3 separate regions of the Mus musculus genome follow, and regions 1 and 3 are each reported to be linked to region 2. Evidence: microRNA targets listed by miRTarBase, many of them from high-throughput screens and not tested one by one. Region 2 holds a microRNA gene; each other region holds the end of a gene's coding sequence.

What was found. The annotated mature microRNA mmu-miR-10b-5p reads UACCCUGUAGAACCGAAUUUGUG and lies in region 2 at 1,766-1,788, shown strand. An mRNA with a match to its seed (bases 2 to 7 or 8) in the 3' UTR can be bound and repressed. Matches are read on the target gene's strand: a 7mer-m8 pairs with bases 2 to 8, a 7mer-A1 pairs with bases 2 to 7 and ends in A, and an 8mer does both.
Region 1: miRTarBase lists Nufip2 as a target of mmu-miR-10b-5p. The part of its 3' UTR that is shown has no 7-base or 8-base seed match.
Region 3: the mRNA of Cflar is a reported target of mmu-miR-10b-5p. Seed matches in the 3' UTR shown: 8mer at 1,141-1,148 and 7mer-m8 at 2,833-2,839.

The regions. Positions count from the first base shown.
Region 1 is chr11:77,709,216-77,712,215 of GRCm38, reverse strand. It overlaps Nufip2 (nuclear fragile X mental retardation protein interacting protein 2), which reads right to left. Exons shown (of 4, transcript NM_001024205.2): 4 at 1-2,533. The coding sequence ends at 2,481. Among named protein-coding and RNA genes, the nearest start is that of Cryba1, 15 kb to the left of the region's middle.
Region 2 is chr2:74,724,309-74,728,780 of GRCm38, forward strand. It overlaps Mir10b (microRNA 10b), which reads left to right and starts at 1,762; the gene lies at 1,762-1,829. All of the region lies in intron 1 of Hoxd3 (homeobox D3), which reads left to right. It overlaps Hoxd4 (homeobox D4), which reads left to right. Exons shown (of 6, transcript NM_010469.2): 4 at 1,155-1,670; 5 at 2,568-3,397; 6 at 3,954-4,472. The coding sequence starts at 2,971. The coding sequence ends at 4,279.
Region 3 is chr1:58,753,718-58,756,717 of GRCm38, forward strand. It overlaps Cflar (CASP8 and FADD-like apoptosis regulator), which reads left to right. Exons shown (of 10, transcript NM_207653.6): 10 at 67-3,000. The coding sequence ends at 205. Among named protein-coding and RNA genes, the nearest start is that of Gm39646, 37 kb to the right of the region's middle.

The sequences.
Region 1 (3,000 bases), not on the chromosome of region 2:
ACATAAACCAAGGAAATATATTTTTGTTTTGTTTTTGTGATTTGTGCAACAGAAGAACTTTTAAATTCCAGGCAAGCAAAATGGACATTTAAAAAAAAGTGGGGTAAGGATTCAGCCCTAAGGCGACAAGTGGTCACACAAGGCAATTAAACACACAGCAGAACTTTAAAACCTATAAAACAAACTGGAGCCTCGTTTTTCTTTAATCAAGATTTTTTTTTTAAATTTTCTGAAAATTTTTATTAAAAAAAAAAAAAAAGAACACAAAACACAGACTCAGTTCAATATGTGGCGTGTTGCATTTTCCAGTTTGTTCAATGCTTTAAAGCTCAAGGATGCCTCACTGATGTACACCGGCCTGAAGCATCCTAGCTTTTGGCAAGCAGGCAGGAGACTCAACAACAAAAACAAACAACAAAAACAAAAAATCAAAATAGGAACAAAGCGACTAAATGCAGGGCACATCTGTAAACATATTATACATTTGAAAATTACAATATCAGTAAAAGTGATACAGTTTACAGGTGAAATGAAACTATCTGAAACTGGCCTACCACAAGTTTCTGAACCTGGACTGATACAATAAGTTATTATATATATTATGTATAAAAAGTTTTGTTTACATCAAGTGGAATTGGCAATCCATGCTTATACTTAAAAAAAAAAAATCTAAGCAGGGCAGAAATCCAGACTAAAAAGTATTTTTCTCTGCAGTAAATCAAATAGCTTCTTTCATGAACATTTGTTAAAAACCTGAAATAGTTAACAAAACCAGAAAATCCATCCACACTACAATCGCTCAAAACTGGACATTTCTTAGAAAACAAGAGTAAAAAGTAACTACTTTCTCCCCCAAAAGTGTCTAGGGGATCCAGTTTGCCTTTGTTAGAAGACTGCAACTGTATAAATGCCCTGCTAGTTTAACTTGTATTTGACATACATGGATACATTGATTTCTCTGTATGTGTTATGTGTGTGATGTGTTGCTACATCAGGCCAGAGAACTTGTTTTTATGCCACTAACATCACCCAGTCTTATATTGGACCCTTCGTTTCTACACACACACACACACACACACACACACACACACACACACACACACACACACACACACAGACACAGACACACAGACACGCGCGCGCATGCTATACACAAGCTGCAGCACAACAGGATGGTAATGCGATGATAAGACAGGGCTAATGCTCTTTCTGCCCAAAACAAAATTCAGAATTTCACATTATTTTTCTTAAAAAAAAAAAAAAAGAAAGAAAGAAAGAAAAAAATAACCAAAGGAACCCAATCTTGCTCTAATGATAAAATATATTAAGATATAATCAGAAACAAGTAAGCTCAGAAGCAGAATTTGCCTGAAAACACACCTTCTACAATCAGGATTTATTACCTCCTCACTGGCTAAAAAAACAAGACAGTTTTCATTAATTTTTTTTTTCTTTTTTCGATTTTGCTGAGAAACTGAAATTAAAAGAATTTACAGAAAGGTACATACGTTTCTCTTAAATGGTTGATGAAAAACAAGAGTATACACTTAGTGTTAGTGACAGAGAGCAAGTCAGAGCACCTACAGCAGAAAAGCAGAATATATTTTTGCTCCCAGTTACACAATTACAATGGGTAATTATCAGCCAATTACTTGTTCTGCAACTTTTTTTTGAATGACACTCTTAGATGTTAAAAGTCCAAACATGTAACCAAAGTAAGTTAACTATATACCCACAAACTATTCCAGGATTGTAGAACTTCAATGCCCTCCCCCTGTCCCCACCCAACAAAAAATAAAAGGAAAGGAACTATTTCCCCAACACCCCACATAGGCTGCAGAACTCTTGGCAAGACATGCAAATCATTGTATTAAAACAAACAAAAAAAAACCAACAAAAAACAAACAACAAAAAACATCCCTGCAAACTTCAAGGCATTTATCCAGCATTCTCGCAGGGCTCAAAACTAAAAGATCAAGGGTGGAGTAGGGGAAAATGTTGAATCATTCTGGGTTCCCCGTGATTAGTGTATCACTTTAGTCACAGAACAAGGTACAGATACCTAGAAGTAAGTGGATTTGCCTTTCCAGTGGGTCATTTGTTGCCCAAGTAGATGACAGCAGGAACTTTAGAACCACGCTTGTTAAGTCTGTATTCATTAATCACTTGCATTCACACTTAAAAACAAAAACTAACAAAATAATAAAGAAAAGGACTATTCAGTACCGGAGATTAAATAACCATGTGTAGTCTCTTGAAATAAATTTGATTCCTTAAGAAGTCTAATTACTTTCAGTTGCCTTTTTTTAAATAACTATATATATATATGTATATATATATATATATTTGTATATATTATCCTGTGATTCTACTTATGGTTCCTCTGCTGCGTTGAAGATCTAGGAGCATAAAAGCCTTGTGTCCCACATGAACGGTGGCTCTAATGCTGCAGAAAGATTACAAATAGGCAGTCTGGTCCTTCATTGATCTGGACTATCCATGGCTTCATTGTAAGTGATTATCCTTTTGGGATCTAGAGGCAAAGTAAAAAAGTAAACTAATTAAGCACATTCAAAACAAAACCCAGATACAAATCACAAGCAATCATTCAACTCTTCTGATTTTTCAACCGGAACTGTGGCTGCTCAGCACTCCAAATAAATTCCCAACAACAGGTGCTCTACCACCCAGAGAAGACTTCAACCTCTAGAGACTAACCCTTTCCTGTTTCAGTTCCTTTAGTAAGGCGTTTTCCTTGTGATTCACCTGATTACAAAAGTAGGAAATGTAAAAAGAAGAAAAAAGCTCAAGTCATAAGATAATTTAATAGAGAAATTCTTGGGTTTATTTTGTTTTTAGCAGGAATTTAGCAAGGTCTCATGTGATCCAGGCTGGTCTCTAAACTTGCTGTGTGGATGACCTTGATTGAACTCCTAATGTCCCTCTTGACTGTACTCCTGCGTCTTTCTGCCAGGTGCTGCATGTGGCATCATGCCCCAG
Region 2 (4,472 bases):
GGTAAGGACCACAGGGACCAGGCATCCTCCCTCTCTTGTGAGATGTCTTCCCTTCCTGGTCAGAGAAGCTGAGACTGGGCTCAGGGCCAGGTTTCTTTGCTGGGCCCCTGGTGAGGCTGAGCTAACAGGGAAGTGAAGACCTTTACAGCTTGTAGTTCCTTCTATGAACCAGGCCTGCACACAGTGAACCAGGCTCCATGGTGAAAAATCTGGACTCCCCAGACTTTCTCTGGCCTTGCCCCTGCCCTCTTCCTTGGCACCCTTGGCTGTGAGGGCTCATCTCTGCTGAGGCTGCTTGCTTGCTGGCGCCTTGTAGCTGCCCACAGCACAAAAAGCCGGAGAGATCAAAAGCATTTGTATGGGCAGTTGAGAGGGAGGTGAATATTTAACGCTTTTGTTCATCAATAACTTGTTGGCTTTGACCTGTCTGAACAAGTCGAGCAATAAGGTGAAATGCAGGTCACAATGTCTAACAAATATGAAAATGTGTGTACTCATCTTGGTCCTCACTCAACCCATCGGACTTCCCCAATTTGTCTGGGTAAAACAGAGGTAGGCCCAGTGTCCCCAGAAAGGCCTGTCAACGTGTCCATGGGTGAAAGGGCTGGCATTAGGAGAAACTGGGGAGAGTCTTTAAACAAACGGATTTTAACCCCCTTTTTTTTTTTTAGAACTGACACCTGGGAAATCCCTGCAAAATAGTGGAAGTGAAAGATGGTGGGAGGGCATGGAAGGGCAAAGTACAGGGTCAAAGTGAGCACCTAATTTTGCCAGATATGATGAGGGGAGTCTCCCTGCCCCACCCCATCAAAATCAAGGCATGGGGCTTGAAAGTGATTTTTCGAATTATATAGGAAGGGATCAAAACAATACTTAGAAATGTGGACATCTTCAATCTGTTATCAGGCATCCATAAGCTCGGCCCAGGCCAGGGCATCCCTCTGCCCCTGAAATCAGCCCAGCCCCAGAGTGCATCTGGGCTCTTGATGCCCTGAATTGAGGGGCAAGCCCAGGACAGCGGAGGCGCTGGGGCGGCGAAATTCGCGAACTTTTGTACTCTTCTGTGCTGCTGTCGGCAAAGCAAAAATAATGAAACTTTGTGATATGTTTGTAAATGATTTCGAATGACCCCTCGCCCTGCCCTTCACCATTAGCTCGACAGTCTCAGCCCAGGGAGGCTCGGTGGCCGCAAACAGCGCCTGCCTCCGGGTCTGCAGCAGCAGTCATAGCAGCAGCAGAAGCAGCAGCAGCGGGATCCGAAAGTCCGGCGGGGCTGAGGGCCCAGAAAGGTAAATGCTCGAATTCTAGGAGGACTAGCTGTGACCACTCACTTGGCTTAGGTTCTGGTGAAGACTATTCCTTTTGCCTTTTTCAAAACTCCCTTTCTGCTGCTGAGGGCCTTTGCTTCTTTTTGGGAAATACCACTTGATAAGGGGGCGGGAGATTTGGGTTCTGAGAAGGGGCAATTAAGCCGCCATCTCTGGGGTGAAAAAAAAACTCCCCTTCTTTTCTTTTCTTTTTTTTTTTTTTAAGAAGAAGAAGGTCCTGGCTGCTCAGCTACTTGGTGGCCCCCATCCTGGCAAGCCGATGAGGGAACTCATTGCTGTAGCGAGCAGCAATACTTAGAAATGCACCGAGCCTACCTGCACCATCTCTGAAAGCCAGGCTTGGTGAGTTCCTGGTGGCTGTGCTGAAGAGATCAGGTCTGGCAGCTGCCTGAATGTCTGCTCTGGGTAGGACCCGAGGTTGTAACGTTGTCTATATATACCCTGTAGAACCGAATTTGTGTGGTACCCACATAGTCACAGATTCGATTCTAGGGGAATATATGGTCGATGCAAAAACTTCATATATCTCCGACATGGCCAGAGACTGAGGCGCGGAGAGTACTGGCAGCCCAGCCGGCAAGCCACCTCTTTCTTTTTCATTACCTTAGACTCCAGGATGATCGACTTTGCCTGGTGAAATTGTACAGCCTTTTCCTGGAGAAACTCCTATAGATATTCCAGTAGGTGCTCAAGTGGTTGTCTGAGTGTAAAGCCAGAGAGCCAGGTTTTAGGGTATTAGAGAGTGAGGTGAAAGGCCAGAAAGCTCCAGCAGAAGCCCTGCTCTGAAGGAGCATGAGACACAAAGGTACCCAAATGGGGCTCACCTGCCCTTGTGTGGGAAGAAGACAAACTGAAAGATAGGCCATCGGAGACCGTTGGGGTACATTTAGGCAAGGTTAAGGTCCCCCTCCCCACCATCCCAATATGACCCAACCCCTCAGCCACCAGACTCAGAACTGTGAGGGCCTCCTGCAGAAAGATCCAACTTCAACTAGAAACACCCCAGCCTGCGCATTGGCAGAAAAGCATAGTGGTTACTCATTGCCTAACTCAATTCAGGTCCGCCAGATTCTGGTAACTTTTGGGTGACCCTGATGAAGACAAAGCCAAGACAGGTCTTTGTATGTCAGAGTCCAGGACTCCTGCCAGCTGGCCGGGCAGCCTGCCTGCCTGCCTAGGACTCTACCCAACTCGGAGGCCACATTGCCCACACTCATTCTTCCTTATTTTGCACCCCAGTAGGAGAATTCACTCTTCTTTGAACTATGTCCATTCTGGGGGCTGCTTCAGGCGATGGTGAGTAAGGAGGGCATGGGAGGTTAGCAAAGTCAGTGGAAGACAAAAGCCGAGATTACCTGCCGGAAATTGGGACCCCGGGGATAGAATTAGAACTCTATTAGCATCTGTCAGGGACTCTCAAATGTGGCATGGCAAGTCACTTGATTACACGTATGTTATTTAGTTAAATTTGTGAAAATTATGAGATGCTCACCAACCCGGTGATAAACATGCTTTCTTCCTATTGGCTGGCCTGGTCACATGGCCGCCCAACTTTATTCAGTTGACAGCAAGTAGGAGGGCCCAATGGAAGGAGAAAAAAGACAACACGAGAAAAATTAGTATTTTCTACCTTCTGAAATTAATGGCCATGAGTTCGTATATGGTGAACTCTAAGTACGTGGACCCCAAGTTTCCTCCGTGCGAGGAATATTTGCAGGGTGGCTACCTAGGCGAGCAGGGAGCCGACTACTACGGCAGCGGTGCACAGGGCGCCGACTTCCAGCCCTCGGGGCTCTACCCACGGCCCGACTTCGGCGAGCAACCCTTCGGAGGCGGCGGGCCCGGGCCTGGCTCAGCGCTGCCCGCGAGGGGTCACGGACAGGAGCCGAGCGGCCCGGGAAGTCATTACGGTGCCCCGGGAGAGCGGTGCCCAGCGCCCCCGCCTGCGCCCCTGCCTGGCGCTCGGGCCTGCAGCCAGCCCACCGGCCCCAAGCAGCCGCCCCCCGGGACAGCACTCAAGCAGCCCGCTGTGGTCTACCCTTGGATGAAGAAGGTGCACGTGAATTCGGGTAAGGAGTGGGGGCAGCGACCTCACAGCCCTCCCGCACCACTCCTTGCATCTTTTGGCCTGCACCCCCCACCCCAGGGGTTGCGAATGGGTAGGGGCTTGTGCAGCTTCCTTGGGCGCCGCAATTACTCTCTCCATAAATTTTTATAGCTGAGGGAGCAGGCCGGGACCATGTGGCTGGCTGCTTGGCTGTGGGCGCAAAAGGGGGTGGGGATGGGGATGGGGTGGGGGGAGGACTCCATTTCCACAGCAGAGGGAACGCAGAGCAAAACAAGGACCTTTCCAAAATGTTGGCGATACCGAGCTCTTGGTGGGCCAGTGGCAAGGGAGAACCTTTGAGGAGGACCTGTGAGCGTGGGGAGTGTGTGCATGGAAGGGCTTGGGTGGGAGTGTGTGTATGTTTAGGGAGAGGGCGGGAGGGAGGAAGCTGGCCAGCTTGGAGCACAGGGGGGGCCCGAGGGCTGCGAGACGCGCCAGGAAGTGAGGGCAGAGGCAAGCCTGGGGCCTAACTAGTGGCCGGGCTCTGACCTGGCTGTCTTGTATGTTTTGTCTCATAGTGAACCCCAACTACACCGGCGGGGAGCCCAAGCGCTCCCGGACGGCCTACACCAGACAGCAAGTCCTAGAACTGGAAAAGGAATTTCATTTTAACAGGTATCTGACCAGGCGCCGTCGGATTGAAATCGCTCACACCCTGTGTCTGTCTGAGCGCCAGATCAAGATCTGGTTCCAGAACCGGAGGATGAAGTGGAAAAAAGACCACAAACTGCCCAACACCAAGGGCAGGTCTTCTTCCTCATCTTCCTGCTCCTCTTCAGCTGCCCCGGGCCAGCATTTGCAGCCAATGGCCAAGGACCACCATACGGACCTGACGACCTTATAGAAGTGGGGACCCTGGGCCTATCCCTTCTTGCACTCCAGGTTGAGGCGAAGCTGCGGGTGCAGGCGGGGCCTGCTGTCACCTCACTGGGCTCTAAGGTACTGTGGGGGTGGACCTGGGACCTGCAGGCCGCCCTCGGACTAGGTTACCTTCCTGCCCGAGGGCAGCCCCCTCCCTAAAGTGGGGAAGGGTGGGA
Region 3 (3,000 bases), not on the chromosome of region 2:
CTAATGACAATCTGTCTTCTCTTTGGTGTTTGCACATCTTTAAACTTTGCCTTTCTCTTCCTCTAGGAGACGCCCACTCGTGGACCTCCACGTTGAACTCATGGACAAAGTGTATGCGTGGAACAGTGGTGTTTCGTCTAAGGAGAAATACAGCCTCAGCCTGCAGCACACTCTGAGGAAGAAACTCATCCTGGCTCCTACGTGAGAACCCCAGACCGTTGGTGTTCTTGGTATATCATCCAGGGTGGCGGCTTGGAGCAGAGCTTGGCGGTTACGGCTGCTTCTGGCTGCTTCTGGCTCTGCCGTGAGTCCTGGCCTAGGGTTCTCCTGTGCACAGGCATGAGCCGTAACCCTGTGCCTGGGAAACGTCTCACTCCCGCCGCCGTGCCTTTACCTCTCTAAACTTCCCTACTTACATTCCTTAGTCGGATGTTTTGCCAGAGTGTGGAGAACAGTAAGACATAAACCTATTGTTTGTTTGTTTTTTTGGGGGGGAGGTTATCTACCAAGTTATACCAAGTTATTGTATGGGTGTATAGTGTATAGTGGTTCAAGATTTGACACTGAATGTAACTTGAGACTTACCTGAGTTTGTCATGCGACTGGGTAAATTGTTTCTATGGCACATCTAATCATTTAATAAGTAATTACCTCATTAAGTACCCATTGCTTCAGGACTTTCACATTGGCCACCAATTTCTGTGACCCAGCTCCACATTTATATTCTCTTTCTGCAAAACCAAATTTCATTATGTCTGTTTAATATCTACAGTCTAATGCTTTGTAAGACATCTAGATAGAAAAATAGTTACCCATGAGCACAGGAGGGCTGGCCTGACCCTCACCAGCTGTGCAGTGGCTTCGGTGAAGGAGAATGAGCCCTACTCCTTGAAGGTTGTAGTGCTTGGGAGAGCAGTCTGTACCTTGCCTGGGCAGCACAGTAGAGCCAGCCCCAAGAACACAACAGTGAGTGGGGGAGCTTGCCCTGGTTGGCTCAGGATCAGGAACAGGAGGGATGACCAACTTGGGGCTTTGAGGTGGCCCACCCCAGCATCCATATCATCTGTGAACTGCCAGAGCCTGTGAAGGGGCGGGTCCTGTAGAACTAAGGCTGCAGGATCTCCATGACACAGGGCAACAACAGGGTATCTGAGAAGGGTCCCCGTGAGGGTCCAGTATTTATAGTGCACCAGAAGCCAGAGGCCTCGGATCAGACAATGACCCATTGCACTGAGTAAAGATGTAAGTGAATGAGTGAAGATGTGTGGGCACACGGAAATACTGAGGGACACACACAAGCTTTTATGGAGATGTTTGTTTGTTTGTTTGTTTGTTTTTTGTTTCTTTGGCAGGAACAGATTGCAAGGGCAGAGAGTAGATAAGGAAGCTGGAGACATGAGTGGGGTTGGGTGCATGATATAGAATTCACAAAGAATCAAAAAAAAAAACTTAAAAAAATGGTTGCCTAGTGAGATTACTTATTTATAATTTATATAGCTAGCTTTTTTTGTAACAAGAGCAAATAGAATTTATTTATTTATTAAATACATTTGAAGCAAGGTTGTAACGTACGTAGCAAAACTCCTGCCATACCAGTACTAGCGTGGGGGAGGCCAAAGGATCACATGTTCTGAACCAGTCTAGGTATGTAGTAGCTGTGTAATGAGATTGTGTGTTTGCCTGCTTGTGAGAGAGAGGAGAGAGATAAATTCCAAAACATGTAACATGGTATAATTTTATTAGCTGCTATAAAACATGGTTATTTTACTTTGTATACTCTTGAGTAACCTAATAGTATAATCTATCTGTATTTGAGGATAGTAGTCAAACCCCTCCCCTCAGGGTTTAGGGACCTGTTCTGAAGAGGAGGCAGAAAGACTGTGAGAGCCAGAGGTGGTGAAGGGCTCCAGGGAAGCCGCATCTTCCAGACAGAACAGGACCCGTGCACATGTGGCTGACAGCACAGGTTCAAACCAGACAGAGTCCCAACACTGAGAAAGGGAGACGAAGTTGTGGGCCATTGTGCTCACACCTGAGCACAGTGGGAATCAGGAGTGTTCAACCCTCAGGGTTGTCTCGTCAGAGGGAGAGATGTATAACCTGTTTCTGCCCAGAAGGCAGGAACAATGTGATTCGTAGCTGGTGGTCTCTGCACTATTTGTACCACCAAGCCACACCGCCTCCCTCAGACTCAAGTTCATGTCAGTCAATCGGCAGTCTGCCCTCCCTGCCAACCTCATCAGGACCACTGTTTTCCCTGAGCCTGCTTCCTCAGTTAATTCAGAGAACCTATCTGTATGCAAGATGTTGCTTGTACTCTACAAGAGTTTCAGTATAGCCATCTCCTAAGCTTTTCTGTACACACAGGACTGATTAATTATCACCAGAAACTATTTTGAAATTGTGCTGTGCCTAAAATAAACTACTTGGTGCTAGACTCCAGAAGTTTGGACAAAAACTGTCCACTGAGTCACGTTGAGACAGACTTTCTTCTTGCTTCTCTTGGATCAACACCCTGCTGGTTAAGGTGTTTGCAGAGATCCCCACGAAGGGGAGGTTGTGCAGTAGATAGCTGCTGAGAAAGGGAAGTCAGCTTTCTCCAGTGGAGTGTTATTGGACATATCCATTACCCGTCAGGGCAGGCCCCAGACCCAGGAGTAATTGGCTAACATAAAATGGACTCTGTGTGCTTGTCTTTTTATTGATTTTCTTTCTTTCTTTCTTTCTTTCTTTCTTTCTTTCTTTCTTTCTTTCTTTCTTTCTTTCTTTCCTTCCTTCCTTCCTTCCTTCCTTCCTTCCTTCCTTGTTTTGTTTTGTTTTTGTTTTTTTGAGACAGGGTTTCTCTGTATAGCCCTGGCTGTCCTGGAACTCACTTTGTAGACCAGGCTGACCTCGAACTAACTCTCTCTCTCTCTCTCTCTCTCTCGTTTGTTTGCTTTGCTGTTCAAGTTTTTTCGTTTTTTGAGAGAGAGAGAGGGAGCGCAAGAGAACATGAAGTTA